2 linked regions of the Stegostoma tigrinum genome follow. The protein of the gene in region 1 purifies or fractionates together with the protein of each later gene. This does not show direct contact. Links are inferred from orthologs where the notes say so. Each region holds a gene or a part of one and is shown in the gene's direction. Other genes may lie near its edges.

What was found.
Region 2: the proteins of acad9 (region 1) and timmdc1 purify together in Homo sapiens (affinity purification with mass spectrometry; 3 studies listed by BioGRID and IntAct, counting the BioPlex papers as one, with this or other methods). This does not show direct contact. The link is inferred for Stegostoma tigrinum from reciprocal best matches to the Homo sapiens genes ACAD9 and TIMMDC1.

What each region holds. Positions count from the first base shown.
Region 1 is NC_081364.1:25,607,116-25,622,716, reverse strand, and holds the start of acad9 (complex I assembly factor ACAD9, mitochondrial), read left to right. Parts: upstream 1-7,237; 5' UTR 7,238-7,273; coding exon 7,274-7,474; intron 7,475-11,149; coding exon 11,150-11,243; intron 11,244-15,601. UniProt on the Homo sapiens protein: As part of the MCIA complex, primarily participates in the assembly of the mitochondrial complex I and therefore plays a role in oxidative phosphorylation.
Region 2 is NC_081372.1:5,681,442-5,697,391, reverse strand, and holds the start of timmdc1 (complex I assembly factor TIMMDC1, mitochondrial), read left to right. Parts: upstream 1-4,991; 5' UTR 4,992-5,140; intron 5,141-11,055; 5' UTR 11,056-11,069; coding exon 11,070-11,320; intron 11,321-15,950.

The sequences.
Region 1 (15,601 bases):
GCCAAGCTTATCTCTTGCTCCCTTTTGAATACTGATGCCACAAATGAGAGGAACTGAAAATTATTACCAATGCCACTACTATTTCCTTCCTTGCTTCATTGAACAGCCTGGGATACATTTCTGCTGGTGCTGGAGATCAATTTACTTTTAAGTATGCCAGACCATTCAGAACCACCTCTCTGTCTCTGCTTCCCTGATTTCTAAATCCAATCTGTCCTTTGGCCCCATGCACAAATTAGCATTGTGGACCTCTGAGCCCTAGTCTTTCCCTAATTCTTTTTACCTTAATGTACTTGTGAAATAACTTTACCCACCATTACTTCATGCCCTCCTTTTGCTTTTGCTCTTCTGCTTTAAGTTTCACCTTGCATGTTCTGAACTCCCCACAGCTTGTGCTTTTCTGAGACCTCAGTATCTAGCATAAGCCTCCCTTTTTCTCTTTATCACTTGATATATCAGATTTGCTGGAATTGTTGGTGCCACTCCTTGTCTTTATTGGCACGTGTTGGTCCTGTACTCTCCCTATTTCCTACTGGAATGTATCCCACTGACAGACATTTACCTGAAAGTATCTGCCCCACTCTACTCTGACCAAATCATACCTGGTCTTATTAAAATCAGCAGCACCCCCCACCCCCCCAACAATTGAGAACGCTAACTTCAAGTCCATCCTTGTCCTTCTCCATAAAAATCTTGAATCTAACATAGTTATGATCGCTGTCTGCAACATGCTTAGCCAATAATATTTTATCCACTTACCCAGCTTTGTCACTGCCTCTTGGAGGGGCCATCTCCGTACTGTCTCAGAAGCTATCCTGGCTGGATTTTAAGAGTTCTGCACTTCCACACTGACTAGAACACCTGCAGTGTAAAAGTAAGCTATTTGGCCCATTGAGTCCACACCAACCCTCCAAAGAACATCCAATCCAGACCCCTTCCTACCCTTACACTAACTCACTTAGCCTGCACATCTCTGGGTGTTATGGGCAATTTAACATGGCCAACCCGCCTAATCTGCACATCTTTGGGTAGAAACCCACACAGACATGGGGAGAACATGCAAATTCCACACAGTCGCCAGAGCCTGGGATCGAACCTGGATCTGTGGTGCTGTGGGATAGTTGTGCTAACCACTGGGCCATCATGCTGCCCCAGTTAATGTTGGGGTAGTTGAAATCTCCTATCGTTCCCTTATACTTTTATGAAATGTGCCTACATCTGCTGTTCTACTTCTCTCCGACTATGAGGGGGGCCTATCGTACACACCCAGCAATGTGATTGTTTTTTTTTAAAAAGGTTTACCACATATGGCTTCATTTAAGGAGCCTTCAAAGATACTACACTCATTCCTGCTGTAATTGATTGCTTGATCAATATGCAACACCTCCTCTTTTACCTCCTTCTACCCTCTATCGTGGAATATTGAGCTGCACTCCTGCCTCTCTGTTAACCATGACAGCATCGTCCTATGTTTTAGTTTGTGTCCACAACTTAACTTTCCCAGAGGTGCTGAAATGTGATTTGGGTTTAACCACTAACCTTTATCAACTAATCCAGTTTCCCCACATCTCTCTGTCAATCCTTGCTTGAATCTGAGCTCCGACAGGTGCTGAAGCAGAATTTAATCTTTCTAAATGTGACTGTGAAGTAGTCCTTGGGGGTAATAATTAACGATCCAGAATTCATTTTTCATTTATGCTGACAGATCTTTCAATTTTGTGTTTTTCTGAAATGATGAATTAATAAGGGAGTGAAGTTGTACATCAGAAAGGAGGACAATATTATTGATTATTCCCATAATGGATAAAGACAGACAATAATGGCTTCAAGTTTATTTTCCCCAATGGAGCTGTTTGTAACTTTTGATAAGCCAGATATCTATTTACCATGTGTGGATATTCAGATCATATGAGGAGGTAATTTACGAAGTTGGCTCATGAAAACATTGAGCAAGAGGCAGTTAGCTTCTCAATTGGACCACCGTAGTCTGGAGAATCTAGAAATGCTGACAGTTGTTGGTTTGCCATGAGAATGGTCTGTTCATTCCTACACAGACTGCACTGGGAGTTTGAGAATGTATCGGATTGCCTGCTTTGCTCCGAAACCAAATCACTAACCAGGTTGTGACCGGCTCAGCATCTCTTTTTATTATAGTTTACCTTACCTTTACAATACTGAGGATATTGGTATTTTGTTTTGTTTTGTTTCATGCTCAAAAACCTGTTCATCAGGGCAACTTGGAAACAATGATCTTTTGAACAGGAGATCAGTTCATTTCTATAGACTTGGTGATAGCAACTAACTGAATTACAAACAAAAACAGAAATTGCTGGGAAAATTCAGCAGGTCTGGCAACATCAGTGGAGAGAAATCAGCGTTAACGTTTCGGGTCCTGTGACCCTTCTTCAAAACCTTCTGTTCCAGCAGTTGTAGTTAGTTTTTTAATTTGACGGAATTACAATATGGTCATATCTGCACTTTTCTAAGCACAAAACAAACTGAAGTCTTTACAGCCAGAAGTATACTAGATCGGAATTCATAGCCCAGGACTATGCGCTGAGGGATGACTAAAAATTGGGGCAGCTGGCCCAAGGGAAAAGATCACTGTCTAAAGTTTGTCAACTAGGGTTCAGAAAGGGACTGGATCCTAGGTAAAAACCCCTTTGCTTATATCTCTGACATAATGAATTTTTCAAATATTAACTGTAATTTTTAGTGATATTGGAAGAAAACAATTTAGTACCTTGTTTAATGTCAACTTTGGTCATGTAAAAAACTTCAAATTTTATGAATAAAGTATATTTTGAGAAAAATATCTGGAACTGGGGGCCACAGTCTCAGCAGAGATTGCACATTTGGGATCAAGACATAAAGAACTTTTTATTATCAATTCGAGGGTCATAAATCTTTGAAGTTTTGAGGTTTCTCAGTCATTGAGTATATCTTAGTCAAAAGTTGATAGATTTTTGGATTCTAAGGGAATTGAGGAATGTGGGGATAGCGTGAGAAAGTGAAGCTGTGGTAGAAAGTCAGCCATGATATTGTTAAATGGCAGAACAGGCTTCAATGGCTTTATTATTTAATTCTGCTCTAATTTCTAATTTTTTTTAAGAAAATACCAAATCAAAATCACTCCAACACTTTGGCAAGCAGTCCCAAACTTCTCTCTAATATTGTTATGGGATCTGATGGCAAGGAATGTTTATTGCACAGCCATCATTATTCACAATCCTGGGAGTTGTCAGGTCACAACATCTAATATTGTCATCATTTAAGCTAAGACACCCTGAAGATCATAAAGTAGCATCAGATTATTATGAACATGAGGGGAAATTAAGGTTAAACCAGGAAAGCTGAGTATTTACATGGAACTAAGCATGTTTGGTGAGAAAATCCTTTGGTTGCTACCTCTTTCTCCATGAAGCCTCTTTTCTGACACACTTTCCTCAGACCAGGACCACTTGTCTCCTTTGGTTATTGTGATTCCTTACTTTTGACACCTTTTGCTGGCGGCCTCATTACGTTACAAGCAATGTTTTGCTTGTTCCTTTTTTTAGCCTCCAAAAAGTAAACCTTTTAAGCTTCTAAAATCAAAAGGATTTTAAATAGTGAATGGAGCTTGTTACAACAGCTCCAATCAGGAAAAAGAGTAGGCCATTCAGCCATTCACCACCTTGAGCTTGCTCCACTGTTCACTGATATCATCTGCACATTCTTGCCCATCCCAAATAACACTTTACCGCTTTGCTGAACAAAAGTCCAGCTCTCCCTCTAAATATTCAAAAACTTTGCTTTTCAATCTTTTGAGAATCTTCGCTTTTTGTCTCATTTCTGTTTTAAATTGATAACCCCTGACTTTTAAAGTGCGATTCCAAGTTCTTGAAATTCACATAAAAAGAAACCTCCTCTCCACATCTACCCCGGCAAGATCTTACATATTTCAATTAAAGTGCCTCTACTGGATACAACCCTAAGCTGTTCAACCTTTCCTCACTTGGCAAACCACCTATTCCTAGTCATAACCTTGTCTGAACTGCCTCCAATGCATTTCTATCCTTCCTAAATAAGTTGACCAATACCGTACACAGTACTCCACGTGTAGTCTCACTGGTGTCCTGTATTACTAAAGCATAATCTCCACACTTTCTATCCAATACTGTTTGCAATAAATAACAATACTCTGCTAGCTTTCCTAATTACTTTCTGTATGTGCACACTTATCTTTTGCAACTCATGATCAACGACACACAAATTCCACAAAACTTTACAATCTCTCACCATTTCAATTTCAAGCTTTTCTTTGTTCTTCCTGCCAAAATGGACACATGCACATTTTCCACTTATGAAGAAATTAGTCTTGTTTCACCCAATTATCATCACATAATCCTCATTATCGTAGAATCCCTACAGTGTGAAGGTCCCACCAACTGTCCAAACAGCATCCCACCCAGACGCATCCCTCCCCAACCCTGTGACCCTGCATTTCCCATGGCCAATCCAGCTAACCTGCATATCTTTGGATTGTGGGAGGAAACCCCCACAGACATAGCAAGAATATACAAACTCCACACAGACAGTCACCTAAGGCTGGAATTGGATGCAGGTCCCTTGTGCAGTGAGGCAGCAGTGCTAACCAGTGAGCCACCGTCCTGCCCCAATTGTTGTAAAAGATACGTTGTCAATCTTGAAGAAATCTTACTCCTAACATTTGTAGTCCCAGGGGTCATAAATGTATGAATTGATTTTACTTGTGTGTGGATCTGGCATCAATATCTGAAGTCAGGCAGGATGAGGCACTCCACTCCCGCACATCCCAGATGTCCCCGTTCTTCAAGGACTGCAGCCTTCTCCCCGCAGTGGTCAAGAACGCCCTTGACCGCGTCTCCTGCATTTCCCGCAACACATCCCTCACACCCCGCCTCCCCGCAACAACCGCCCTAAGAGGATCCCCCTCGTCCTCACATACCGGATACAACGCATCATCCTCCTACACTTCCGCCATCTACAATCCAACCCCACCACCCAAGACGTTTTTCCATCGCCACCCTTGTCTGCTTTCCAGAGAGACCACTCTCTCCGTGACTCCTTGATCTGCTCCACACTCCCCTCCAACCCCACCACACCCGGCACCTTCCCCTGCAACCGCAGAAAGTGCTACACTTGTCCCCACATCTCCTCCCTTACCCCCATCCCAGGTCACAAGATGACTTTCCATATTAAGCAGATGTTCACCTGCACATCTTGGGGGGCGCTTTGCAGAACACCTCTGCTCGGTTCGCAATAAATAACTGCACCTCCCAGTTGTGAACCATTTTAACTCCCCCTCCCATTCCTCAGACAACATGTCCACCATGGGCCTCCTGCAGTGCCACAATGATGCCACCTGAAGGTTGCAGGAACAGCAACTCCTATTCCACATTGATACCATTGGGCAGCAGGGTTCCCATGTGGGCTTCACAAGCTTCAAAATCTCCCCCTCCCCCACTGCATCCCAAAACCAGCCCAGCTTGTCCCCTCCTCCCTAACCTGTTCTTCCTCTCACCTATCCCCTCCTCCCACCTCAAGCCGCACCTCCATTTCCTACCTACTAACCTCATCCCGCCTCTTTGACCAGTCCATCTTCCCTACTGACCTATCCCCTCCCTACCTCCCCACCTATACTCTCCTCTCCACCTATCTTTTCTCTCCATCTTCGGTCTGCCTCCCCCTCTCTTCCTATTTATTTCAGAACCCTCTCCCTCTCCCCCTTTTCTTATGAATCGTGTAGGCCCGAAATGTCAGCTTTTGTGCTCCTAAGATACTGCTTGACCTGCTGTGTTCATCCAGCTCCACACTTTGTTATCACTTAATCCCTACTGCCCTGCCCTGTGCCCTATCTCCTGCATAAAAGAGCAACTTTTTCCCAGCCACCATCAGTTCTGAGGAAGGGTCACTGGACCCAAAACGTTAACTCTGACTTCCCTCCACAGAGGCTGCCAGACCTGAGTTTTTTCAGAAATTACTACTTTTGTCCCTGAACATACAAACATAAGAACCAGGAGCATGAAAGTAGGTCACCTGGACCTTTGTGTGTGCTCTGCCATTCAATAAGATCGTGGCTGATCTTTTTGTGGCCTCAGCTCCACTTACCCGCCCTCTCACCATAACCTGTAAACCCTTTCCCGTTCAAAAACTTAACTATCTTAGTTTTGAAAAACATTCAATGAGGAAGCCTCAACTACTTCACAAGGCAGGAAATTCCATAGCTTCACCACCCTTTGGGTGAAAAAGATCCTCCTCAAATCAGTCCTAAATCCGCTTCCTTAAAGTCCTGCTGTTCTAGTTTCATCTGCCACCGGAAACATGCTCCCTGCTTCAATCTTATCTCTTCCCTTCATAATTTTATATTTCTATAAAGATTTCCACCCCCCACCCCCATTCTTCTAAATTCTAATGAAAAAATCCCTGTCTGCTCAGTCTCTCCTCATAAGCCAACCCTCTCAACTCCAGAATTGACCAACTTTAAGTACATTGAAGTCGTCGTTGGACAAGCATATGGACGTACAAGGAACAATGTAGGTTAGATGGCTTCAGATCGGTATGACAGGTCAGCACAACATCAAGGGCTGAAGGGCCTGTACTGTGCTGTTATGTTCTATGACCTACTGACTCTCCTTTGCACCCACTCCGGTGCCAGTATAGCCTTTCTCAAGTAAGGAGACGAAAACTACATGCAGTATGCAGGTGTGGCCTCACCAGCTCCATGTACAGCTGTAACGTAACGTCCCTGTTTTTAAATGTAATCCCTCTAGCAATGAAGGGCAAAATTCCATTTCCCTTCTGAATTACCTGTTGTACCTTCAAATCAACCTTCTGCGATAAGACCGGACAGGTGCAGGTTCCCTGTTCCTTCTGGTGGTTGTTATCTAGTTCCTGATTTTCCTATGTGAGCCTTTCTCTGTTCTGATGGCCTGGGCAATGAATTTGTGGTGGTTGACAGCTTGAGGCCTGCACGACTGTAATGTGCTTATTGGGCAAGCTAATTTTGTAAATGTCCTTCGCCTTAGGTTTTTGAAGTGAAGACCCTTTTTATAAAAAAAAAGATGCTTTGCCGATTGTTTCTTGGCTGAAACCGAACCAACCACGCGCCTTTTGGCCTGAAGGACAGGGTCCCCAGTTGGAAGGTGCCTGCCCCCTAGTGGCCGCCAGCGGTCTGGCACCCGGTCGTTGTGACGTCAGCACCGTGCGACGTAGGCCGTTTCGGATCCACGACTGCTGAGGTCAGAGGTCAGCCATGCAGCGGTTTGCGGTAGCCGGTGGACGGTCGTTGGTCCGTGTGTCCGCCTGTCGCCTGCCGTTGGCCTCGGGCAAGCGCTTACGGGAGGATGGCAGCACTGGGAGGCTGCTCCCTACGTGCTGTCATCACCGCGGTTTCAGGTCTGCTGACCGGAGCCTGGCTTATGTCAAGGAACTGATTCTGGGGAAAATCAACCAGGTTTGTGGCCGGGGCGGGGAAGGGCTTGGGAGGGGGACGAAGGGTTCGAAGAGAGTGGTTACGGGGAGCCTAGGCAGGGGTTCGGGAGGCAGAGGGGCCTGCGATGCATGGAGGTTTCGGGGGGCATGGGTGGGGAGGGCAGAGGCGGGGTTGGAGGTGAGGGGAGACTGGGTGGGTAAGAAGGGAAGGTGGATGGTTGGGAGGAGAGGATACGTGAGAGAATGAGAAGAGGGTGGGGGAGGGTTGGGGAAAAGGGCCCTAGTAAATTAAAAAGACGAGGAGACGACTGTGGAAAGATGGGGAAGAAATGGCGAAGGTCTGGGCCACAACGTAGTTTGGAAGACAATAGAGGGAAAAGAGACATGAGGATGGAGTGACGACCTAGCTGTCGGGCTCTTCCATACTCAGGCCTTCTAGTTCTGAGTCAAAACAGTTATGTCCTTGAGCTAACAAATATTTGTCAAATTGACGCTTCATTGAATTCATTTTGTAAGATGTTGCTGTATTGTTTGATGCAGGCATTTGATGTTAATTTACCTTTCAAGGTCTCTTGGACAGCCTGTTTAAAAACAAAAGGTGTACTATTGCTAAGCTCAACATAGGTGTGGCATGTAACAATGTTTACTGGTGAATTTCTACCAAATTGTGATAAGTATGCCTAAATTCACTCGGTTGTGCATTTCAGTTCTTAAAAACATGTGTAGTAGAATAAGTGCTACTGACTTTTAAAATGTGAATTTTCTATCTTCATGAGAGGATTAGAATGCAGAAGTGAGAGTCAGTATTGCAGCTGTTTTTCTTTAAGATTATGTATATTTATTTTATCTGAATACCCGGTCAGAGTTCTTGGACATTGGTCAGCCACTAGCAGGTTATTGCATATGAAAATACAAAGCATATATATTAGGGCCTCTTGAACCTACTTCATCATTTAACTAGATCATCGTTTTACTTTTCTGTCTACTCCATAACATTTGACTTCGTTAAGAAATAATCTGTTTAACCTGGCCTGAAAGTGCAATGTATCCACTGCTGTCTAAGATCAGACTCCTTATGACTATTGATGTCAGTGCTTTACAGTCAATAAAGTACCATTTTTGAACTGTAATCATTCTTGTAATATCGGACACGTAGCTAATTTCTAATTGCAAACACCCCCACACCCCCCCCCCCCAAAAAAGCAGTGTGATTATATTGAGTTTTTTCAGTGATGTTGAATAAGGGATTAAATATTCACCAGGACACTGGGAAACTGACCTATGATTTGATTTAGTGCCATAAACACTTTTACATCCAGCTGTTCTGTCTGGTTCGTTTTCGGAGACCCTCACGGACTTGATGCAATAACAAGACACTGACCTGTTTAGAAAAACACAAATCCTTTTATTACCAAGCAAGTACAAGCTGTGGAGAATCACTGTACTTAACCCGGCACAGAGTGCAGAGTTTCACAAGTAATTCTCCCCGAGCAGTGGACAGTCCCCACTTTTTATACTTTATTAAGTACATAATACATAAAACAATTTCACATCTCACAATGACATGATACATGAAACAATTATTACAACAGACAAAGACAGGATACCAAACAATTATTACATCAAGAACATAAAAGACCGGGATATAGTATCAATTGTTGGTGAAGTGGCTGCTAATGGCAGGAGGCGATTTCAAATTGTTATCAGGACAGATTGTGATTTCAAGTTGCTGGTGTGTCTGGCTACAACAAAGTCAGTGCCCTGGCCCCTTTGTCAGCGACAGAAGTTACATGCTTCAGAAGTCTCTCACCATTACAAATGTTCCTCACTTAACCTTATTTGAGACAGTTTAATTCTAATTTTATTCAGTCAGGAAGCTTAAGACAGTGTCTGCATACTGACGCGAGGGAAGACAAGGAGTTACAAAGTCTTACAATGAATTCCTAGCTGGGCAGGAAACTTCAGGGCAGTGCCTGCACACCTATGTGTAGGCAGATAAAAGACATTAATTTATAAAAGTATAGAAATCAATGGGATTTTATTCCATTAACATCTCAGTTATACCATGTCATTTAATGCCTCATCCAAAAAATCCACAAGACAATGGTCCCTTACAATTGGCACTGAATTGCAAATTCAGAGAGCTGGTGCAGATACAAAGGGCTAAACTGCTGTCTCCTTCACTGTTACAGTTCTTTGAACACTTGATTTATGAATGGTGTCCCAGAATTGGAAAATCCAATTGGTTCTCTGTTTACAGAAATGGGAAGTGAAGAGAAACCAAGAACTTATACAAGATAACAAGGTGTAGTGCTGGATGAACACAGAAGACCAAGCAACATCAGAGGAGCAGGAAAGCTGACGTTTCAGGTCTGGACCGTTCTTCAGACCCTTCATTTCTGCAGAAAGGTCCAGACCCGAAACGTCAGCTTTCTGCTCCTCTGATGCTGCTTGGCCTGCTGTGTTCATCCAGCGCTACACCTTGTTATCTCAGATTCTCCAGCATTGGCAGATCCTACTATCCAAGAACTTATAGATCCATTATTGCATTTTGAAAAGACATGGCTAGAACCTAGGTAGCCCCTTACAAAAACTTCTGCCCCGTAAGTGTGTTTGATATTAGGACATCATACAGTGCTTCACAGGCAAAGATGTAGTTTTGAAATGTAGTCACTGTTGCAACAGAGGATATAGCAAACACTTTGCAAAATCAATGTAATAGCTGAATCATAAGGAATTAACAGTAACTTAAAGGCCATACCATCTATCTTAAGGATATTGGTTGAGGGATAACTGTTTGCCCAGGAAACCAGAAGTATTTCTCTGCTCCTAAGATAGCACTGTGGGATCTGGTAGCTATATATTGACCTTTGACATAGTAAACATTGGAAAGTGCTTCACAAGAGTTTTATTAAACAAGATATAATAAATTACGAGATTCAAGATTACCTAGTGCTTGGTGGTTGAGATTTCACAGAATTTCTTAAAGGAGGGAAAAGAGTATCACAAATGGGGAAGTTTGGAGAGGGAATTTCAATGCTTAAGAGTCTTAACAACTGAAGTCACTGCTTTGACAAGAATCCGTGAAATTATGAGGCACTGGAATTGGAAGAGCACAGGTATCTGAATGTTGTTGAGGAGAATGTAGTGTAGGAAGAGGCAAGGCCTTGAATATCAGAATGAGTTTTCCAACTGGGGCTTTGCTAATCTAACAGTTGGTGGGGGTCAGCAAGCGTGTGTAATGAATGAATGGGGCCTTGTTGTGGGTTAGAATACAGGCAATACTATTTGAAATTTATGGATGATGGAAGAGGAGAGGCCAACAAGGAATGCATTGGGACAGTCCAGTCCCAAGATAATGATGACGTAGATGAAGGTTTTAGCAGCAGGGCAGCTGAAGCACTGGCATAGTTGTCCAATGTTTAGATTTAGAAATAGCCAGTCTTTGTAATAGTTTGAGTATGTGGTTGAAAGCTCATGTTTGCATCAAATGCTGTACTAGGGTTGTGAACACTACAGCATTGCACTGAAATCTCATACTTGATTATTTATTCTTTGCGCTGACCTTTAGTTCCCGGTCTTCTGACTCTGAAATGAAAGGGATACAATTGAAGAAGGAGAAAAAAACCTGGTTTAAATTGGTTAATAAAAAAGATTATGTATTATAAAGAATCTCAGGTTATACACTTTTTTCCAGAAAGAAGTTTTTCCTTATCCAGAGATCAGTAATGAAGAATTGGAAGAGATTAATCAACTTGTTGTACCTGTGGAAAAATTTTTCAATGACGATGGTATGTTGTTTTGCCTAATATTAGTTGCGTAAATTTTCGTGATAGTTAAGATTGACTTTGGTTTATTTTCTCACTCTTTATTAAATTTTTGATACTTCTAAAACTTTCCAAATTTGCTGCCTTACCACTAATCTTTGCCACGTTATATGTTTATTTTTTTCAATTTGAAACTGTCCTTAACTTCCTTGGCTTATCCTCTTCTCCTCCAGGTATATCTTTGCACCATGAGCAATTGTCTCAAGTATCTGCTGTTGTTCATCAACTGTCTTTTCTGCTGAACTCCTTTCCCAAAATTTTCCAACGAACTCTACTGTCATTTCTTTGTAATGACATTTATTAAAGTTTAGCATAGTTGTTTCCAATCCAAATTTCTCACTGTCAAAGTGAATGCTAAACTCTACCATGTTATGAGACCATAAGACATAGGAGCAGAAATTAGGCCATTCAGCCCCTTGAGTCTGCTTGCCATTCAATCATGGCTGATAAGTTCCTCAACCCCGTTCTCCTGCTTCCCACCCTTGACCCTTGATCCTGTTAATAATCAAGAACCTATCTATCTCAGTCTTAAATGTACTCAATGACCTGGCCTCCACAGCCTTTTGTGGCAGTGAATTCCAGAGATTCCGCGCACTCTGGTTGAAGAAGTTTCTCCTTATCTCCATTCTAAAAGGTCTTCCCTTTACTCTAAGGCTGTACCCTCAGGTCCTAGCATCTTCCCAACATCCACTCTGTGCAGACCATTCAATATTCTATAAGTTGAAATTCGATCAAAGGAAGATGGTTTCAGTTATTGTCAGTCATCACAGTCCCCGCCTACTTCATCAATGAGCTTCCCTTCTTCGTAATGTCAGAAATGGGGATGTTTGCCAATGATAACACAGTGTAGTGCATGATTCGTGATTTCTCAGAAACTGAGAAATCCCATGTTCAAATGCCTTAAGATACAAGCTTTGACAAGTGGCATTTACCGTTTGTTCTGCACAAGTGCCCAGTAACGATCATCAACAGCAAGAGATAACCTAGCTGTGGCCCCTTGGCATTCAATCACATTACAGTCACTGAATCCCCCACTATCAACATCCAGGGGGTTATCATTGACCAGAAACTGAACTGGATTAGCCAAATAAATATAATGGCTACAAGAGCAAGTCAAAGGTTAGGAATCCTGTAGCAGGTAATTTGCATTGTGATTGTCAAGCCATGTAAGGCACAAGTCCAGAGTGTGATGAATACTCCCCATTAACCTCGATGAGTGCAGCTCCAACAACACTGAAGATGCTTGACATTGGAACAAAGCAGCCAGCTTGTTTGACACCACATCCACCTAAGCATTCACTTGCTCCATCACCAGTGCTCAAGTAGCAATAATGTTTGCCATTTCTCAGAACAATTGCAGAAATTTACCAAGGCTCCTCGGACAGGACGTTCCAAACCCATCAGCTCTCCCCATTTAGAAGAGCAAAGGCAGCAGATATTTGGGAACACCATGACCGATAAGTTCTTCTCCAAGCCATTCACCACCTGATTTGGAAAAATGTTGTCATTGTCGTGGGTTAGAATCCTGAAATTCCTTCCTTGACAGCACTGTCAGTATGCCCACATCAACTGCTGTTGTGACATTGATTACCTCAACCTCTCTACGCCTCTCACTCCTCCCACTCCTCCAACCTGTACCCTAAGAACGTGCAGCCGTCTGCTCCAACCCTGACCTCACTATCAAACCTGGTGACAGGGAGACGCAGTTGTGGTATCGCGCACTGAACTTTAAATCGCCGGGGCCAGGCCCCAACACTCTCCAACACCTGCTCCTACCGCCCCCTTGATCATGACCCACCCAAACATCATCTCCCAGATCATCCATAACCTCATCACCTCAGGTGACCTCCGATCCACAGCCTCCAACCTCTTCGCTCCCCAATCCTGCATCTCCCAATTCTATCTCCTTCTCAAAAATCATAAACCCAACTGCCCTGGCTGACCAATTGTCTCTGCCTGCTCCTAACCCACCTAACTTAGCTCCGCTTACCTCGACTCTGTTTTCTCACCCCGGCCCAGGAACTCCCCACCTAGGTTCAAGTAATCACCCGTGCCCTCCACTTCCTCCAAAACTTCCGATTCCCTGGCCCCCAATACCTCATCTTCACAATGGATGTCCAGGCCCTTGTGTTCCCCTTCACACTGCTTAAAAGCTCTCCACTTCTACCTCTCCTGCAGGCCCAACCAATCCCCCACCACCAACTCCCTTATCTGCTGAACTCGTCCTCACCCTTAACAACTGCTTCCTCGACTCCTCCCACTTGCTACAGACTAAGGGGGTGGCCAAAGGTATGCCTGCCTCTTTGTAGGATACGTCGAACAATCCCTCTTTCACAGCTACACAGGCACTATCGCCCACCATTTCCTCTGTTACATCAATAACTGTAGCAGCGCCAGCTTGTGCTCCCACGAGGAGCTCGAACAGTTTATCAACTTTACTAACACCTTCAAGTTCACCTGGACCATCTCTGATGCCTCTCTCTCCTCCTGGACCCCTCTGTCTTCATCTCTGGTGACCACCTCAAAACTGATATCTGTTTCTAGCCCACCGACTCCCACAGCTACCTAGACTACACCTCCTCTCACCCACCCTCCTGCGAGAATACGAACCCATATTCCCAATTCCTCTGCCTCCGCAGCATCTGCTCCAAAGGTGAGGCGTTCCAGCCCTGAACATACAGATGTCCTCGTATTTCAAGAACCACAACTTCTCCTCCTCCTCCTCGCGCCCCCCCCCCTCCCCAATCAAAGTGGTCGAAAACACCCTTGACTACATCTCTTACATTTCCCACACCTCAGCCATCACACCCGCTTCCCGCATTAAAACCAAGACAGAATTCCCCTTGACCTCACATATCACCCTATTAACCTCCAAATTCAACGCATCATTCTCTGCCACTTCCGCCACCTGCAATCTGATCCCACTATAAAGAATATATTTCCCTCCCCACCCTTATCTGCCTTTCTGGATGGACAGCTTTCTCCGCAACTCCCTCATCCGCTCCACACTCCCCACTAGCCCCGCCACCCCCCGGTACCTTTCCCTGCAAGCGCAGGTGGTACTACGCCTGACCCTACGCCTGACCCTTCCTCTCCCCCCTCCTCCTCCCCTCCCTCCCCTCCCTCCCCTCCCTCCCCTCCCTCCCCTCCCTCCCCTCCCTCCCCTCCCTCCCCTCCCTCCCCTCCCTCCCCTCCCTCCCCTCCCTCCCCTCCCCCCTCCTCCCCTCTCCCCCCCCAGGCTGCAAAGAAACCTTCCACATCAGATAGTTGTTCACCTGCACATGCGCTAATGTGGTCTATTGTATTCCCTGCTTCCAATGTGGTCTCCTGTAATCAGTGAGACCAAGCAGAGACTCTGAGACTGCTTTGTCGAACACCTACGCTAGGTTCAAATCTTCCCACCCCCGATCTCATTCCCAGGACCAGATCTCCCCCGCGATCCCCGCCTCATTGACCTGTCCGTTTTCTCCCACATTATCTGTTCCTACCACGTCACTGACCAATCCCCGCCGCCACCTAGCTACATTCACCTTAACTAGCTTCATCCCTGCCTCCTTGACCTGTCTGTCTTCTCTCCCACTATCCACTCCACTACCTACCTGCTATCACCATCCCCCTATTTATTTCAGAGGCCCCTTCCATCCTCCATTTCTCAAGAAGTGTCCTGAACCGAAACATCAGCTTTCCTGCTCCTCTGATGCTGCCTGACCTGCTGTGTTCATCCAGCTCCACACTGTGTAATCTCAGACTCCAGCATCGGCAGTTCTTACTATCTCGAAACAAATTCCGCTACTTGCTTGAGGGCAATTTTTTGCCTAGCCAGTGAAATCCATGTCTTCTGAGTGGACCAGTAAAAGATCTGCAATAGTCTACCTTGGAGGGTGGTGTAGATAGATTGAGTAGTGACTTATGAAAGGGAATTGGCAAAATTCTTGGGGGAAATAATTGCATGGGAATGGGAAAGGTCAGGAGAGTGGAATCAATTGGCTCCCACTAAGAGTTGGAACAGGCATAATATGACAAATCGCCACTTCCAGTTATGCATTGTGTACAAAATGGATTAGGTAATTGATCCTGTAATCTTCTACCTTAATTAAAGTGACACTGTTAGGATTCCTTTGCTTGACAATTACATTTTGGAATTTAGAATGTAACTAGTGTGATCGTTTATGCAAAGAGGACAATGCATTATTGTAGGTATGTGCACAGAAGTAGAATGGGGCTTTAAACTGGACAAAGTCAGTATATACTAAATATATCTATTTTAACTTTTGAGCCAGAGGCGTTCTAATGATGAAGCTAGCTCAAGTAGTTGAACATCA
Region 2 (15,950 bases), on another chromosome or scaffold:
ACTGGAGCAATAATCCAGAGACATAGGTAAATGTTTTTGGGACACGGGTTCAAAATGGCAATTAATGTGATTTAAATTCAATTCTAGATTTCTAGATGAGATACTCTCATGGATAATGCCCATTATTGTAAAAAAGAACAATCCAGTTCACTAGGTCCTTTAGGAAGGGACCTTAGTGCCTATCCTATCTAAATGAGAGATAAGGCCTACATGTGACTCCAGATCCACAATGTAGTTCACTCTTAATTGCCCTTTCAAATGATCCAGAGCCACTCAGGTCAAGTGCTGAACTTTCCAGTGATGCCCAAATCCTGTGAAAGACTAAATCCTTGAAAGGTTAAAAGGTACATGATAGCAAAACTGGGGAAAACTTGCTTTTCATAGATCAAATGTACGTGTGAGCCTAAAACCAGGAAGTACATCTGCTCAGTGAGACGGATTCGGGTTTTCTCACGTGATTATGTACCTCTTAGCTCGTTATTTATGCATGATGTCAGTACAGTTGAAGTGAAGTATTTTTACTGTCCCCCACTCCTGTACGTATTATGGGTAATTTTTAATTCTATTTTCTTAGACGATGGTATGTTTCACCAAATCCTGTTTATGAAGTTCGATTCAGAATGATTCACAGAAAATCATCTAGGGTTAAATAATGGTTTATTGCTCCCATCAAAACCCAGGGCAATGGTCTGTCTCACACAGTCAGTCACACATTCATCCACAAATGAAAGAAAAGGGAAAGATGTTAAAAATTATAAGTAGCTATCACTCCACAGAAATGCCAGACAATGACCAACTCCCACAAGGGAGAATCTAACTATTGCCCCTTGAAATTCAAAAGCACTACGATTACTAAAAACCCCCTATCAACATCCTGAGGTTACCTCTGATCAGACATTGAACTGGATCATCTATAAAAATATGGTGACTACAAGAGCAAGTCACAGGCTGGAAAATTTCGCTGTAATTAATTCATCCCTAACTTCACAAAGTACCTCCACAAGGTACAATTCAGGAAGATAATGTAATACTCCCCACATCTCAAGGGCAACCTGGGCCAAGCAGTAAATGCTGGCCAGCCAGCAACATCATGCCCCACAAATGAATAACCGTAACGTTGCCTGATGACTGCAGATCCAACAACATTCAAGAAGCTTAACGCCACCGAGGACAAAGCAGCCCATTTCATTGGCACTACGTGCATTCCTTCCAACACTGATACTCATACTGTGCATGCAGTCTATGAGCCGCAATGCAGAAATTCTTTCAAACCTAGATGTTTTGCACACAGTGAAAGAATATTCCATCAAAAGGGAATGCTAGGACAAACAACTCCAAAGCTCCCTAGATGACAAGGTAGACAGAAAGTAAGTTAGAGAAGATTTTGTGTGTTTACAACATGTGTCGGGTAGAAAATAAAACTGAGAACCAAACTGAATATAGAACGTTCACAGCAGGGGTGAAACGGTAAATAAAAGAAGCATCGAGGGTTATGAGAAAAGACTAACAATAAGGTAAATCCCAAAGTCTTTTATATCAGTCATACAAGAATGTTAAAAGGAGGAGTTGGGATGATGAAGGCCCATAAAGGGGAGTCATACATGGAGGCGAGAAGCATAGCTGGGGTATTCAATGAATATTTTAAGTCTGTCTTTACCTATGAGGCACATGCTGCCCACATTCTTGTGACAGAGAAGGGTTTAAAAATGATTTTAATTTCAAAAATGTACTTTATTCATAAAAATCTTAATACACATTGTCACTGAAGCAGTTCGGTTTTGTACAGTCTTTGCTTATGGAAAAATGAAAATTCAAGTCTGATTTTCCCCAACAGTTCCCACAAATAAACCCAAGGCATTTCTAACTTATGCAAGATACTATTTACATATACTTAGGACAGCAAGAGGGTACAATAGTTGCACCGACTCCTGTTGAACTTTTGCTGAAAGATCTTAGATGGTGATTTCTCTCCACTGCATCTTAGCGACAGCTACCCCAAACTTTAGTGATCAGAGATAATGTGAACTGTAGAAGCTGGAGAATCCGAGATAACAAAGTGTGAAGCTGGATGAACACAGCAGGCCCAGCAGCTTCTCAGGAGCACAAAAGCTGATGAAGGGTCTAGGCTCGAAACGTCAGCTTTTGTGCTCCTGAGATGCTGCTGGGCCTGCTGTGTTCATCCAGCCTCACACTTTGTTACCAAGCTTTAGTGTGTCCCTCAGCATGTAGTCCTGGACTTTTGAATGTGCCAGTCTGCCACACTCGGTTGATGTCAACTCCTTGCACTGGAAAATCACCATGTTTCGGGCAGACCAAAGAGCATCCTTCACAGAGTTGATGGCCCTCCAGATGCAGTCAATGTTTGTCACTGCGTGCCTCCTGGGGAACAGACCATAGGGTGTGACTCCTGCATCACAGAGTTGCTTAGGACGAATCATGACAGAAAGAACTACTTCTCTCCAGACATCCTTTGCAAAGACACATTCTAGCAGGAGATGTGGGCAGTCTTTACCCAACACCTCCTCCCCCAAAGGCAGTGTGCAGTGATGCAGACTGACCAGGTGTGCATGAAGGATCTCAAAGGTAATGGCATTCTTGCCACCAGCCAAGCAATGCCTTGATTTTGCTTTTGGAAAGTTCTGGTGATTAGGCATTCTGCAAAAGACTTTGACAATCTGCTCAGGGAGCCACCCGTCAGAGTCTATCCTCTCCTTTTCTCTGAAGACTCTGCATGCTGACCACTTCCTATTGGTCTTTCGGTGAAAGGTGTTTTTCTTTGCAAATTTCTCCATGTGATACAGAACAGTCCAACTACTTGCAGCGTTCCACAGCTCCAAGGCCAGTCCCATCCTTCGCAACACCGGGGACAAGTAGAAGCTCAGTATGCAGTGACACTTGGTGTTTATGTCCTGAGTGTATATGCATAGCTTGATGCAGCCAAACACAAAGGTGACCATCAGGATGCAAGCGGCATTGGGAATATTCTTCACTTCCTTATCCAGAGATTCGTACATAGTGACCCTGCAGACACAGTCCATCTTACACTTCCAGATGAAGTAGAAGATGGCTTGGGTGGCTGGAATGGCACAGGTTCTGGGGATGGACCAGACATGCACCATGTACAACACCAGCAGTACCTTGTACCTGACGACCAGGGTTTTACCCACAATGGAGAGGGGATAAGGTTTAAAATTGATAAGGAAGAGTCAAATTTCACAAGAAGTTTGTATTCACTTGAACTTGGAGGTTTAGGTCTACTCTGCCAGTGACATATGCTGTGTTTCTCTAGCACTTTCTGTTTTCACAAACAAGATATATATATTTAGGATAACAAGGTGTAGAGCTGGATGAACACAGCAGGCCAAGCAGCATCAGAGGAGCAGGAAAGTTGATGTTTTGGGTCTAGACCCAGGTCTACCCCAAAGCATCAGCTTTCCTGCTCCTCTGATGCTGCTTGGCCTGCTGTGTTCATCCAGCTCTACACCTTGTTACCTCAGATTCTCCAGCATCTGTAGTTCCTAGTATCTCTCTCTCTATATATATATATTTAGGTTTGTGAGCGCACACGTTTCTTGTTTTTGCCTAACAAGCCTGTACTTGCGAACATTCCAGGGGCTAGGGATAACACAGCGTGGAGCTGGAGGAACACGGCAGGCCAGGCAGCATCAGAGGAGCAGGAAAGCTGAAGTTTCAGGTCAGGACTCTTCTTCAGAAATTCCAGGAGCTTGTAGTGTTGGTGAGTATTCATAACACACGAACAAATGCAAAAGATGTTCCCAATAGGTCAGGAAAGTTGATTTGCCTGGAAGATTCTGAGAATTTCATAGAAAAACTTTAAGCTGCTATGGGGAAACTGGATTCTTCCCTCCTGACCAATTAGATTTTCCCACCTGCCCTTCTCATGCTCTGGGTATCCTGCAGGGCAAGAAGATTCCACATTTGATTTTTCAGTGTCAATACAAGTGTAGAGCCCCACTAAGCAATATAAACATCTCAAACATTTTTCCACAAGACAATTTACATAATTTTCCTCAAGTTTGGTGAAGTTTATTTTAAATAAAATTCCACCTTTCAAAGGCGATGTTTACATTGCTAGCAGTGTAAATGTTGGATGAATGTTATGACTTGCAAGAAGGCGAACATTATGGATTAAATTTTGAGCCCAGGATGTACCTGGGGATTTTGTCCAAGTGAAATGTGTTTTCACACAATATGTAGATCCATTTTTATTTTTACTCAGACCTGTGCATGAGAGAAAGGAAACGTGATCCATTCTTTCATAAACTCTCACACCATTGTATCTCCTCCACTGTCCTCATATTCTCCACTCCTGCCCAAATCCATCCCTTTTCAAACCTTGTATAATCCTATACTAAAATAAAATCAAGAAACTACAGAGGTTGGAAATCAGAAAAAGAAACAGAAATTGCTGGGAGGTAAAAAATAACCGGTCAGGCAGCATCTATGGAGAGAAAGCAGAGTTAACATTTCGGGTCCAGTGACCCTGCCTCAGAACGTTTTTGTTTGTGTACAATAATCCTATTCCCTCTTGCTCCAGTCCTCTGCCCCTCAACTCTCCTAATATTTCTCCTCACTTGCTCTTTTCTCCCATTTCCATTTCACTTCCCACTCTCTCCCTCCCTTCTTTACTCTCATTCCCTCCTCTACCATTCAGACGCTCCCTTACCCACTCTCATTTCCTGCTTCCACGCCCCATTCATTCCGATCTCCCTCCTACCTCTCACTTCTTTATCCTTCACTCCATACTTTACCCTTTTCTCATCCCCTCCTTTACCCATCACTGCCTTTTTCAACTCTCCCTTCCACCATCCCTTCATCCTTTCTGACTCCCTCCTTCCTCAATCCGCCCTTCCTTCCATCCCTTTCTCCTCCCTCTCCCAAACCCCCCTCCCTTCACCCGACAGGTGACAAGGCGGTGCACATGCGCATGTGCGCACCGTAGGGAAAGACTACAACTACCAGGATGCTCCGCGCGGCACGCTTGCGCAGTGTCTCGGTCTGGGCCCGAAGCCTCTGTGTTGATGCTGCCGGAGTTTTCCGGCAATTTTCTGTTTTCCCTCGGCTGGCAGCGGGATTGAGGTTTCGGACACTGCTTGCTGCATTCTCTCCCCCACCCTCGGTAGGTACATTTGAACCGGTGCCGTGTGCGAGGGTCAGCGCAAGGGGAACCAATGTCAGCGGGAGAACTGCATTCTTGTAGCGCCGTAAAGCCGCTTTTTCACTGAAACGAAGCAAAAAGGTGGTGGAGAAACCCAGCAGCACTGGTCGCATCTGCAAAGAAATTAAAAACAAGAGTTAATGATTCGAGTCTATCAGAAGTGAAATGATTCACTGCGGAGATAGTAGGAACTGCACATGCTGGAGAATCTGAGATAACAAGGTGTAGAGCTGGATGAACACAGCAGGCCAAGCAGCATCAGAGGAGCAGGAAGGGTGACATTTCGGGCCTAAATCCTTCATCAGAAATCTCTGCTGGAGCAGCTCAGCAAGTCTGACAGCATCTGTGAAGGAAACCACAGAGTTAAAGTTTCAGGTCTAGTGACCCTTCCTCAGAACTAATGGTGGCTGGGAAAACATCAGTTTATATGCAGAAAATAGGGAGGTGGTTGGGGTAGGGAGTAAACAATAAGATAGAGTCCAAAGACAGAAAGACAGTTGGATAAAGGAGTTGCTAATGATCAGGCTGGGAGGGTGACTAATTGTTAATGGGGACTGTTAGTGACTAACAATCGAGGGTGTGTAGTGGCAGGCTCTGTGGTAACAAGGCCTGGTGTGTGGGGTGGGGGGCCTGGGACATGGGGGAGCTTAGGCCCTAAAATTATTGAACTCCATATCAAGTCCAGAGGGCTGTAGGGTCCCCAAGTAGAAAATGAGGTGTTGTTCCTCCGGTTTGCGTTGGGCTTTCACTGGAACACTGTAGCAAGCTGGAAACAGAGGTGTTGGCCAGGGAGCAGAGTGGTGCGTTAAAGTGGCAGGCAATAGGTGGTTCAGGGTCTTTTTTTGCGAGCAGAGTGTAAAATGTTCTGCAAAGCGGTCACCAAATCTATGCTTTGTTTTCCCAATGTAGAGGAGACCACACTCTGAGCAGCAAATGCAGTAGGCTAGATTCTGGGAAGTGTAAGTGAGGTGTTGCTTCATCTGGAAGGTATGTTTGGATTCTTGGATACTGGGGTGGGAGGAGGTAAATGGGCAGGTGTTGTACCTTCATTGGTTACAGGGGAAGGTGCTGTGAGGAGTCTTGGGGTGAAGGAAGTGTGGACCAGGGTGACCTGGAGGGAATGGTCCCTGTGGAATGCAGACAAGGGAGGGGAGGGGAATATGTCTCTGGTGGTGACATCTTGCTGGAGGTGGTGTCTGACAATCTTCTGGATGTGGATGCTTGGTGGGATGGAGGGTGAGGATAAGGGGAACCCTATCGCTGTTGTAGGAGGGAAGAGAAGGGGTGAGGGCAGAAGTGTGGGAGATGGGTTGGACCTGGTTGAGGGCCCTGTTGACAATGGAGCTGGGGAATTCTTGATTGAGGAAGAGGGTGGACATTTCGGAGGTTCCCTTATCGAAGTTGACCTCATTTGAACATATGTGACAGAGATGGAGTAACTGAGAGAATGGGATGGAGCTTTTACACGAAGTGAGGTGTGAGGATGTACCGTCGAGGTAGCTGTGGGAGTCAGTGGGTTTGTAGTGGATATTAGTGGTTAGTCTATCCCCGGAAATGGAAACAAAAATGTCAAGGAAGGGAATGGAGGAGTCAGAGATAGACCAGGTGAAAGTGAGGGCAGGGTGGAAATTGGAGGTGAAATTGATGAAGTTTTCCAATTCCAAACAAGAGTGGCAAGCAGCACCGATGATATCATCGATGTATTGGAGAAAGAGTTGTGGGTGGGGGCCAGAATAGGACTGGAACAAGGAAGGTTCCATCTTCCCCACGAAGAGACAGGCATAACTAGGGCCCATGCAGGTACCCATAGCAACCTCTCTTACCCGAAGAAAATGAGAAGAGACGTTGCTGAGTGAGAGGACAAGCTCAGCCAAGCTGAGGAGGGTGGTGGTGGGTGGGGTTGGTTCAGGTCTTTGCTCCAGGAAGCAGCAGAGAGCTCTAAGACCCTCCAGGTGGGGAGTGGATGTGTAAAGGGATTGCACATGCGTGGCAAAGAGTAGGTGGCTGGAACCAGTAAACTGGAAGTTGTGAAACTGGTGTAAGGCGTCAGATTAATCATGGATGTATGTGGGTAGGGATTGGACCTGGGGGAGAGGACTGAGTCAGGGTAGGAAGAGATGAGTTCTGTGGGGCAGGAGCAGGCTGAAACAATATGTCTGCCCGGACAGTCCTGTTTGTGGATTTTTGGCAGGAGGTAGAAACCAGCTGTACGGGGTTGGGGGGGACTATTAGCTTGGAAGCGGAGGTGGGAGATCCCTGGATGAATTGACATCAGTTACCCTCCCAGCCAGATCATTAGCAACTCCTTTGTCTGTCCAACTGTCTTTCTCTTTGGGCTCTATCCTACTGTTCACTCCCTACTCCACCCACCTCCCTATTTTCTGCATATAAACTGACGTTTTCCCAGCCACCATCAGTTCTGAGGAAGGGTGACCGGACCCAAAACATTAACTTTGTGGTTTCCTTCACAGATGGTGCCAGACCTGCTGAGATTTTCCAGCGACTTTTTTTGTTACAGTCATAGACCTGTACAGCATGGAAACAAACTCTTTGGTCCAACTCATCCATGCTGATCATATATCCTAAATTAATCTAGTCCCATTGCCAGCATTTGGCCCATATCCCTCTAAACCCTTCCTATTCACATACTCATCCAGATGCCTTTTAAATGTTGTAATTGTATCAGACTCCTCCACTTCTGTGGTAGCTCATGCACAACCCTCTGTGTGGAAAAGGTTCCTCCTTAGGTCACTTTTAAATCTTTTCCCCTCTCTTATCTTAAACCTATTCCCTCTAGTTTTGGACTCCCTTGGGGAAAGACCTTAGCTATTCACCCTCCTTGCCCCTCATGATTTTATAATCAGCAGTAAGGTCACCCCCTCAGCTTCTAATGCTCCAGAGGAAATAGCCCTGCATGTACAGCCTCTCCCTCTCGTTCACATCCTCAAACCTGGCCACATCCTTGTAAATCTTTTCTGAACCCTTTCAAATTTCACAAAATCATTCCTGTAGCAGGGAGACCAGTTTTAAATGCAGTACTCCAAAAGTGGCCTAACCAATGTACTGTACAGTCGCAACATGACCTCCCAATTTCTATACTCGAACTGAACAAAAGAGGCAAGCATACCAAATGCCGCCTTCACTATCATGTCTACCTGCAACTCCAAGATCTTTGCTCAGCAGCGTTCCTCAGGATCGTACCAATAAGTGTCTAAGTCCTGCCCTGATTTTTCTTTCCAAAATGCAGCACCTCATGTTTATTTAAATTAAACTCCATTTGCAATTCCTTGGCCCATTGGCCCACCTGATCAAGGTAACCTTCTGCACTGTCAGCTACAGCACCAGTTTTAGTATGGTGGACTGAATGGTCTCCTGCTATGCAAATAAACTTTCTATGATTCTCTAAAAGTCTAGACTACCCTCGGGCCAGCCTGATAAATGCCCAGTAATGTTTGTGCTGGGGAATGATCATTCCCAAGAGGAGAAAATCTAATCATCTGCCCTTGACAGTTACCATTGCTGAATCCCCCATAATCAATAACGTTGTACTATTGACTGGTCCAGTTATATTTCTGGTCATGTGAATACTATAACTACAAGAGCAGGTCAGAATCTGGGAATTCAAATATCACCATCTGTGCGGCACAAAACAGGAGTTTTTTTTGTTCTTGGGATATGGGTGCTTCTTGTTAAGCCAGCATTTATTGCTCATTCCTAATAGCCCTGGGGAAGGTGAAGTTCAGCTGCCTTCTTGAACCGCTATGGTCTGTGGAATGTAGAGATATCCACAATGTTACAGGTAGTCTTTGATTAAAATTATTGAAAGACACTTGGATAAGTACATAAATAAGAAAGGTTTGGAGGGATGTGGAGCAGGAGCAGGCAGATGGGACTAGTTTATTTTGGAATCATGTTTGGCGTGGACTTGTTGGACTGAAGAATCTGTTTCCTTGCTGTATGTCTGTAAGATCAGTACTGTCCAAGACAAAGCAGCCTACTAGATTGGCACCTTGTCCACCACCTTAAACATTCATCCCCTCTACCACAATGTACGCTTCCTTCCACAAGATCCATTTCAGTACCTTTCAACAACACCTTCCAAATCTGTAACTTTGTCAACCAACAGAACAAGGACATATGGGAATATGATTCTTTCAAATATTCTTCCAAATTACATACTAACTTGGAGCTATATTGTTGTTCATCTGTTAACAAATAAGAATAGTTCAGATTCTGTCCACAATAGCGTTGTGGATGTGCCTTCACCACACTGACTGCAGCATATCAAGAAGGCAACTCGTCACCAAATTCTTAAAGACAATTAGGGAAGTGCATAAATACTGACCCAGCCAATAAGAATACAAGAAATATAAGAATGCAAGAAATAGGAGCAGTTGTGGAGGCCATTTGCCTCCACACCTGCTCCATCATTCAGTAAGGTCATGGTTGAAATGATTGTGGTGGCAATTCTGTTCTTCCTTGTTCAGAGAGTAATAGTAATAATACTAATATAATGTTGGCCTTTGTTTCAAAGAGAAAGGAATAAGGATATGAAAAGGAATTTTTGCCTGGAGCATAGTGAATCTGATTTTTGTTTTAATCCAGAGAATCCCTGTGCTGTGGGAACAGGCCTTTCGGCCCAATGTGTCCACATCAACTCTCCCACCCAGACCCACCCGCTTACCTTTACCCTGCATTTCCCGTGGCTAACCTACAGATCCTTAACACTATGGATAACCTAGTATGGCCAATCCACCTAATGCGTGTCTTTGGATTCTGGGAGGAAACCAGTGCATCTACCGAAAACCCACACAGATACAGAGGGAGCGTGCAAACTCTACACACAGTTGCCCAAGGATGGAATCGACCCCAGGTCCCTGGCGCAGTGTGGTAGCAGCAGTACCCACTGAGCCACCAGGGCTCAAGGCTGTAGAGGCTGTGCCATTAATTTACATTCAGGCTGAGAATAGACAGATTTTTAATCAATAAAGGAATCAAGAATTGTGGGGATAAGGTAAGATAGCATTGAGAATTCTTGGATCAGCAATGATTTCATTGAATGGCCTGCCTCTGCTCCTTTGTCCAGTGGTAAGAAGGCATCACTATAAGGAAAGTAGCAAAATAACAAAGGGAGCCATGAGAATGTTTTTACACTGAAGTTCTTATGATCTAGAATGCACTGAATGCAATAATGATGTATGTAGATCAAATGGTAATCATTAATAGGGATGTGATAAATAGTTGAAGAGGAGAAAACATGCAGGGCAGAGGGATGTGCAGGATAGTTCTCTGAAGGAGCTGCTGCAGGCCCAGTGGACTGACTGGCTTCCCTCTGCGCTTGAAATTTCTGTATTTTTGACACCATGTAACTGATGATATTCTGAATTTGTTTATCATTTTTTTGAAGGTGAAAGTATGACATAATTAAATAATATTTTCCATATATAATTATCAGTTTTAATTTCCTATCAATAATAAACGATATGCAGTCAAAGCAGTAGGAGCAACTATGTTCTAATGAAGATCATGAGTACTGTGTGAAGAATAAACCTTTTACAGTACGCTTGTCTGATTTAGAAACTTGATGTTACTATTAGCAAGCTAATTTGTAGTGTATTATGTTCGCATTCCCTTTTACAATTGTAATTATTGTTTCTGATTTATCCTAACTTATTTTTGTAATTAATATCTCCGTTCCCTGCACTCCTCACCGATTTAGAGGTGAGAATGATCTGCTCAGATAATCTTACAGTGCGGTCTCCTGTAGAGGAGGTTGAATTGGTGTCACCAGTGGATGCTAGTTGTTTGAGCTATAAATAGGCTCTAAGTAGGCTGGTTGGCGTGAAAACTTAGTTAATTCTTCTGTTGACTTTTAGTGAAATGATACAGGATGAAAGATGAAGAAAGAGGAACATTGGGGACTCTCTCACTAGACTGCAGGCTGACACCAATGTCATGGAATTACCAGACGGCAGGAATTCTGCAGATCTGTCAGAACATCTCTTTCAGAAGACTGTTTCACTTCCCTCAAGTGTTTGCAGCAGATCTTGGAGGGCAGGATGGGAAGCTTCCTGCATGTATCGGCAGACCCCAGGTCCCTGAAACAGGGTGGGACAGAATCCAGGAGCTATTTGTTCGCAAGTATGAATTCACCCAGTTTTTTGTGGACTAAGCTTGATAAAAGTCATATCAGGAAGATGTGACGAGGAGGCAATAATTGTGGAACAAACTAAATGCATATTTTTGAGAATGGTACAAGAAAGAACTGTTTAGAAAAGAAAATAACAGGCAGTCTCAAACGTTTTTGAGTTTTATGCAAAATAAAGCCTTATCTACCATTCTCTCAGCCAGTGTTCTTAAGGTTTGCTGCCATTGTGTATTGTCCTTCGTCATCCTGCTTATTCTGTTCATTGTTCCAGTCAGTTTAGACTTTTTTTGTGCCTTGTCTTGTGCAGTTTTCATTTATATACACTGCCTTTTCATTTTCACTCTTTCATGTCACCTAGAAAGACTGACTTGTCTTCACTTGACTTGTGTCCAGATCATCATAGTTTTTCTTGATTTTTGGTGTATTGCCTCTGGATTCCAGCTTTAGTCAACACACTCAGGAAGGTTTTAAGGTCTGTAAAGGTACAAAATGGATCTAGGGGTGAGAGAATTTAGCTAACCCCAAACTGCAATTATTCTCCTTCAAGTAAAGATGATTGAGAGAGATTTGGTATGTAAGATTGTGACAGGTTTGAATAAGGAGGACAAGTGTTCAAATTGGCTGTTTGTATAAAAGTAAAATGGTCCTAGTCCTACCAGAGCTCTGTTATTGGTGGGGGTTGGGGGGTGGAGCAGAGAGAGAAATGACAGGTGGTGTTTTAACTGAGGGTCATTATGCCTTAGGCGAGGGAAGAGGTTGAGAGGAGAATCTTTCATAGTAACCTCAGCTGGTGTGGACATTGAACCCATCCTGTTATAAAAGACTAAGTTCAATTAGTTTTTTTGGCAAATGGTGAGGGGAGAATGAACTTTTCTACATACCAGACTACCTGAACTCACGCTCACAAGGGTGGTAAATTGGAAACAATCACTAGAAATTAGACTAGAACAAAGGAAATAAACCAGAAAGGTTGTGGGGATCAAGCTGGCAGATGAGGCTGTGAATTGCTGTACAGGGAGCTAGCATGGATTTGATAGGCCGAGTGATCTTTTTACTATAAATTACTCTACTGGTATCCTTGCAGTGAAATATGCAGTGCTGAAGTATGTCATTCAGCCCACACCAGACAGGCTACAAGAGTGGGGATTGGGAAAGTATAATATTGGTGTTTGAAGAATCTTTGCTGAAGTACATTGTCTAAATAGGGTAGAAGGAAATTTATACCACATCCAATGACCTGGTGCTTGATGTGGAAGTTGGCAGCTTAAAATATAGAAATACTGACCATACGAACATAGATTTACAGTCTGAGTGGAAGTCATTCAGGTTATCATGTCTGTGATATCTGCAAAAGAGCTATCCAGTCTTATCCAACCTTCCAACTTCAGGTCTGTCAGTTAGAGTACATAAGCTGCATGTCCTTTTTGTTTTTAAAGTGAGGCTCTGAGATCTAGTTCCCAGCACCACCTGAGTGGAAAACGTATCTCTTTAACTGCCCTCTAATTCTTTGTCCAATTACTTTAAATCCCTCATACTTTAAATCCTTTAAATCGACAACCTCATTCTTTAAATTCCATAATTTCATGGTGTATGGAACTTGAGTATATACCAGGAAAAAAAATTAAATTGAAGTATTTTATCTTGCACCTTTCAGGACATTAAAGATAATACCAATATAAGGGGGGAACAAGAGTTTATATTGTCTAAGAGTGTGATGATGATTGGCAAGTGGTCTCTGATCGGTAGAGGTATTGCTGTAGAGAATGCATTAGTAGGCTGATGACTAACCATTAACTGCCAAGGTTTGTTTATATCTCCTTATATAGCCTCCATTGTTCAAAAGATAACAAATCCAATCTATCTGGGAAGTGCCTTTTCCGAGTCTTTACATCGCTCGATGTTTGTGTACTCTCTAGTATCACCACAGACCAAGGACCAGGTGATACTGGTGTTATATGATGCTGGTTGTTATCGTCATTATCAGCGGGGCCCTACTTATGATACTGGCAAATATATAAGGATTATGTCTCGGTGGAGAATCTTACCTCACCGTTTGCGGTTTTTGCTCACTTGTCACTGAAGAGTTGTAAGAGTTCGAGTGTCAGTGAAAGAGTGAGTCTTGAGGTCTTTTGGTCGAACGTGTCGTATCTCTCGATGCCAAGGAATTTCATGAGGCGGTTATTCATATCCAGCCACTTGCCTTGTGCGCCCATCACGAAGCCAAAGTATCTGGGCACCACACCTCCCGTCAATTCCATGACCTTGGCATTCAGGTGTTTATACTTTTCCTGTTTCTCTCGCCATGCTGTTTCCAGTGCTTTACTGTCATTCTTGTACCGCACTGTGACATCTACCACCGCGATCTTCTGGTCTTTTCTAAATATGAGATCGGGTTTCCATAGGGAGCCGTTTTTGTCAAACAGTCTGGGCTCCACGGCCGACGCCGACGGAACCCCGCCCACAGCTGACGACCTCATCGCCCCGCCCAAAATCTCCACAGCCAGCAATCCCAGAGAAGACAGCCACACTCGGCGCTGCCGTATCTTCACCATCCCCCCAGACCTTCCACTGACTGAGGACGAACGGTCAGTCCTCAGTAAGGGCTCACCTTTGTCTCCCTACAACCACACGTCAACGAATACCAGTCACGGTTGGACATAGAACAGTTTTTCTGCTGCCTTCGCCTCCACGCTTACTTCTTCAACCGGGAACCTAACCCTCCCTCCACTGACCCTTTCGCCCGCTTCCAACACACGTCCACCTCCTGGACACCACCTCCAGGCCTCCTACCTTCCCTCGACCTCTTCATCTCCAACTGCTGTCGAGATATCAACCGCCTCAACCTCTCCACCCCTCTCACCCACTCCAACCTCTCCCCCGCAGAACGGGCAGCCCTCCGCACCAACCCCAACCTCACCATCAAACCCGCAGACAAGGGTGGCGCAGTGGTAGTATGGCGCACTGACCTCTACATCGCCGAGGCCAAACGCCAACTTTCCAACACCACCACCTACCGCCCCCTCGATCATGACCCCACCCCCGAGCACCAAACCATCATCTCCACCATTCATGACCTCATCACCTCAGGAGACCTCCCACCCACAGCCTCCAACCTCATTGTTCCCCAACCCCGCACGGCCCGATTCTATCTCCTTCCCAAAATCCACAAACTTGCATGCCCTGGTCGACCCATTGTCTCAGCCTGTTCCTGCCCCACCAAACTCATCTCCACCTATCTGGACTCCATTTTCTCCCCTTTGGTCCAGGAACTCCCTACCTACGTCCGTGACACCACCCATGCCCTCCACCTCCTCCAGGACTTCCAATTCCCTGACCCCCAACACCTCATTTTCACCATGGACGTCCAATCCCTATACACCTGTATTCCGCATGCAGATGGCCTCAAGGCCCTCTGCTTCTTCCTGTCCTGTAGGCCCGACCTGTCCCCCTCCACCGACACCCTCATCCGCCTAGCCGAACTCGTCCTCGCCCTCAACTTCTCTTTCGATTCCTCCCACTTCCGACAAAGGGGGTGGCCATGGGTACCCGCGTGGGTCCCAGCTTTGCCTGCCTCTTTGTAGGTTACGTGGAACAGTCCCTCTTCCGCACCTACACAGGCCCCAAACCCCACCTCTTCCTCAGTTACATTGATGACTGTATCGGCGCCACCTCTTGCTCCCCAGAGGAGCTCGAACGGTTCATCCACTTCACCAACACCTTCCACCCCAACCTTCAGTTCACCTGGGCCATCTCCAGCACATCCCTCACCTTCCTGGACCCCTCAGTCTCCATCTCGGGCAACCAGCTTGTAACTGATGTCCATTTCAAGCCCACCGACTCCCACAGCTACCTAGAATACACCTCCTCCCACCCACCCTCCTGCAAAAATTCCATCCCCTATTCCCAATTCCTCTGCCTCCGCCGCATCTGCTCCCACGATGAGGCATTCCACTCCCGCACATCCCAGATGTCCAAGTTCTTCAAGGACTGCAACTTTCCCCCCACAGTGGTCGAGAACGCCCTTGACCGCATTTTCCGCAACACATCCCTCACACCCCGCCCCCGCCACAACCGTCCAAAGAGGATCCCCCTCGTTCTCACACACCACCCCACCAACCTCCGGATACAACGCATCATCCTCTGACATTTCCGCCATCTACAATCCGACCCCACCACCCAAGACATTTTTCCATCCCCACCCTTGTCTGCTTTCCGGAGAGACCGGTCTCTCCATGACTCCCTTGTTCACTCCACACTGCCCTGCCACCCCACCACACCCAGCACCTTCCCCTGCAACTGCAGGAAATGCTACATTTGCCCCCACACCTCCTCATTCTCCCCTATCCCAGGCCCCAAGATGACTTTCCATATTAAGCACAGGTTAACCTGCACATCTGCCAATGTGGTATACTGCATCCATTGTACCCGGTGTGGCTTCGTCTACATTGGGGAAACCAAGCGGAGGCTTGGGGACCACTTTGCAGAACACCTCCACTCGGTTCGCAATAAACAACTGCACCTCCCAGTTGCAAACCATTTCCACTCCCCCTCCCATTCTTTAGATGACATGTCCATCATGGGCCTCCTGCAGTGCCTCAATGATGCCACCCGAAGGTTGCAGGA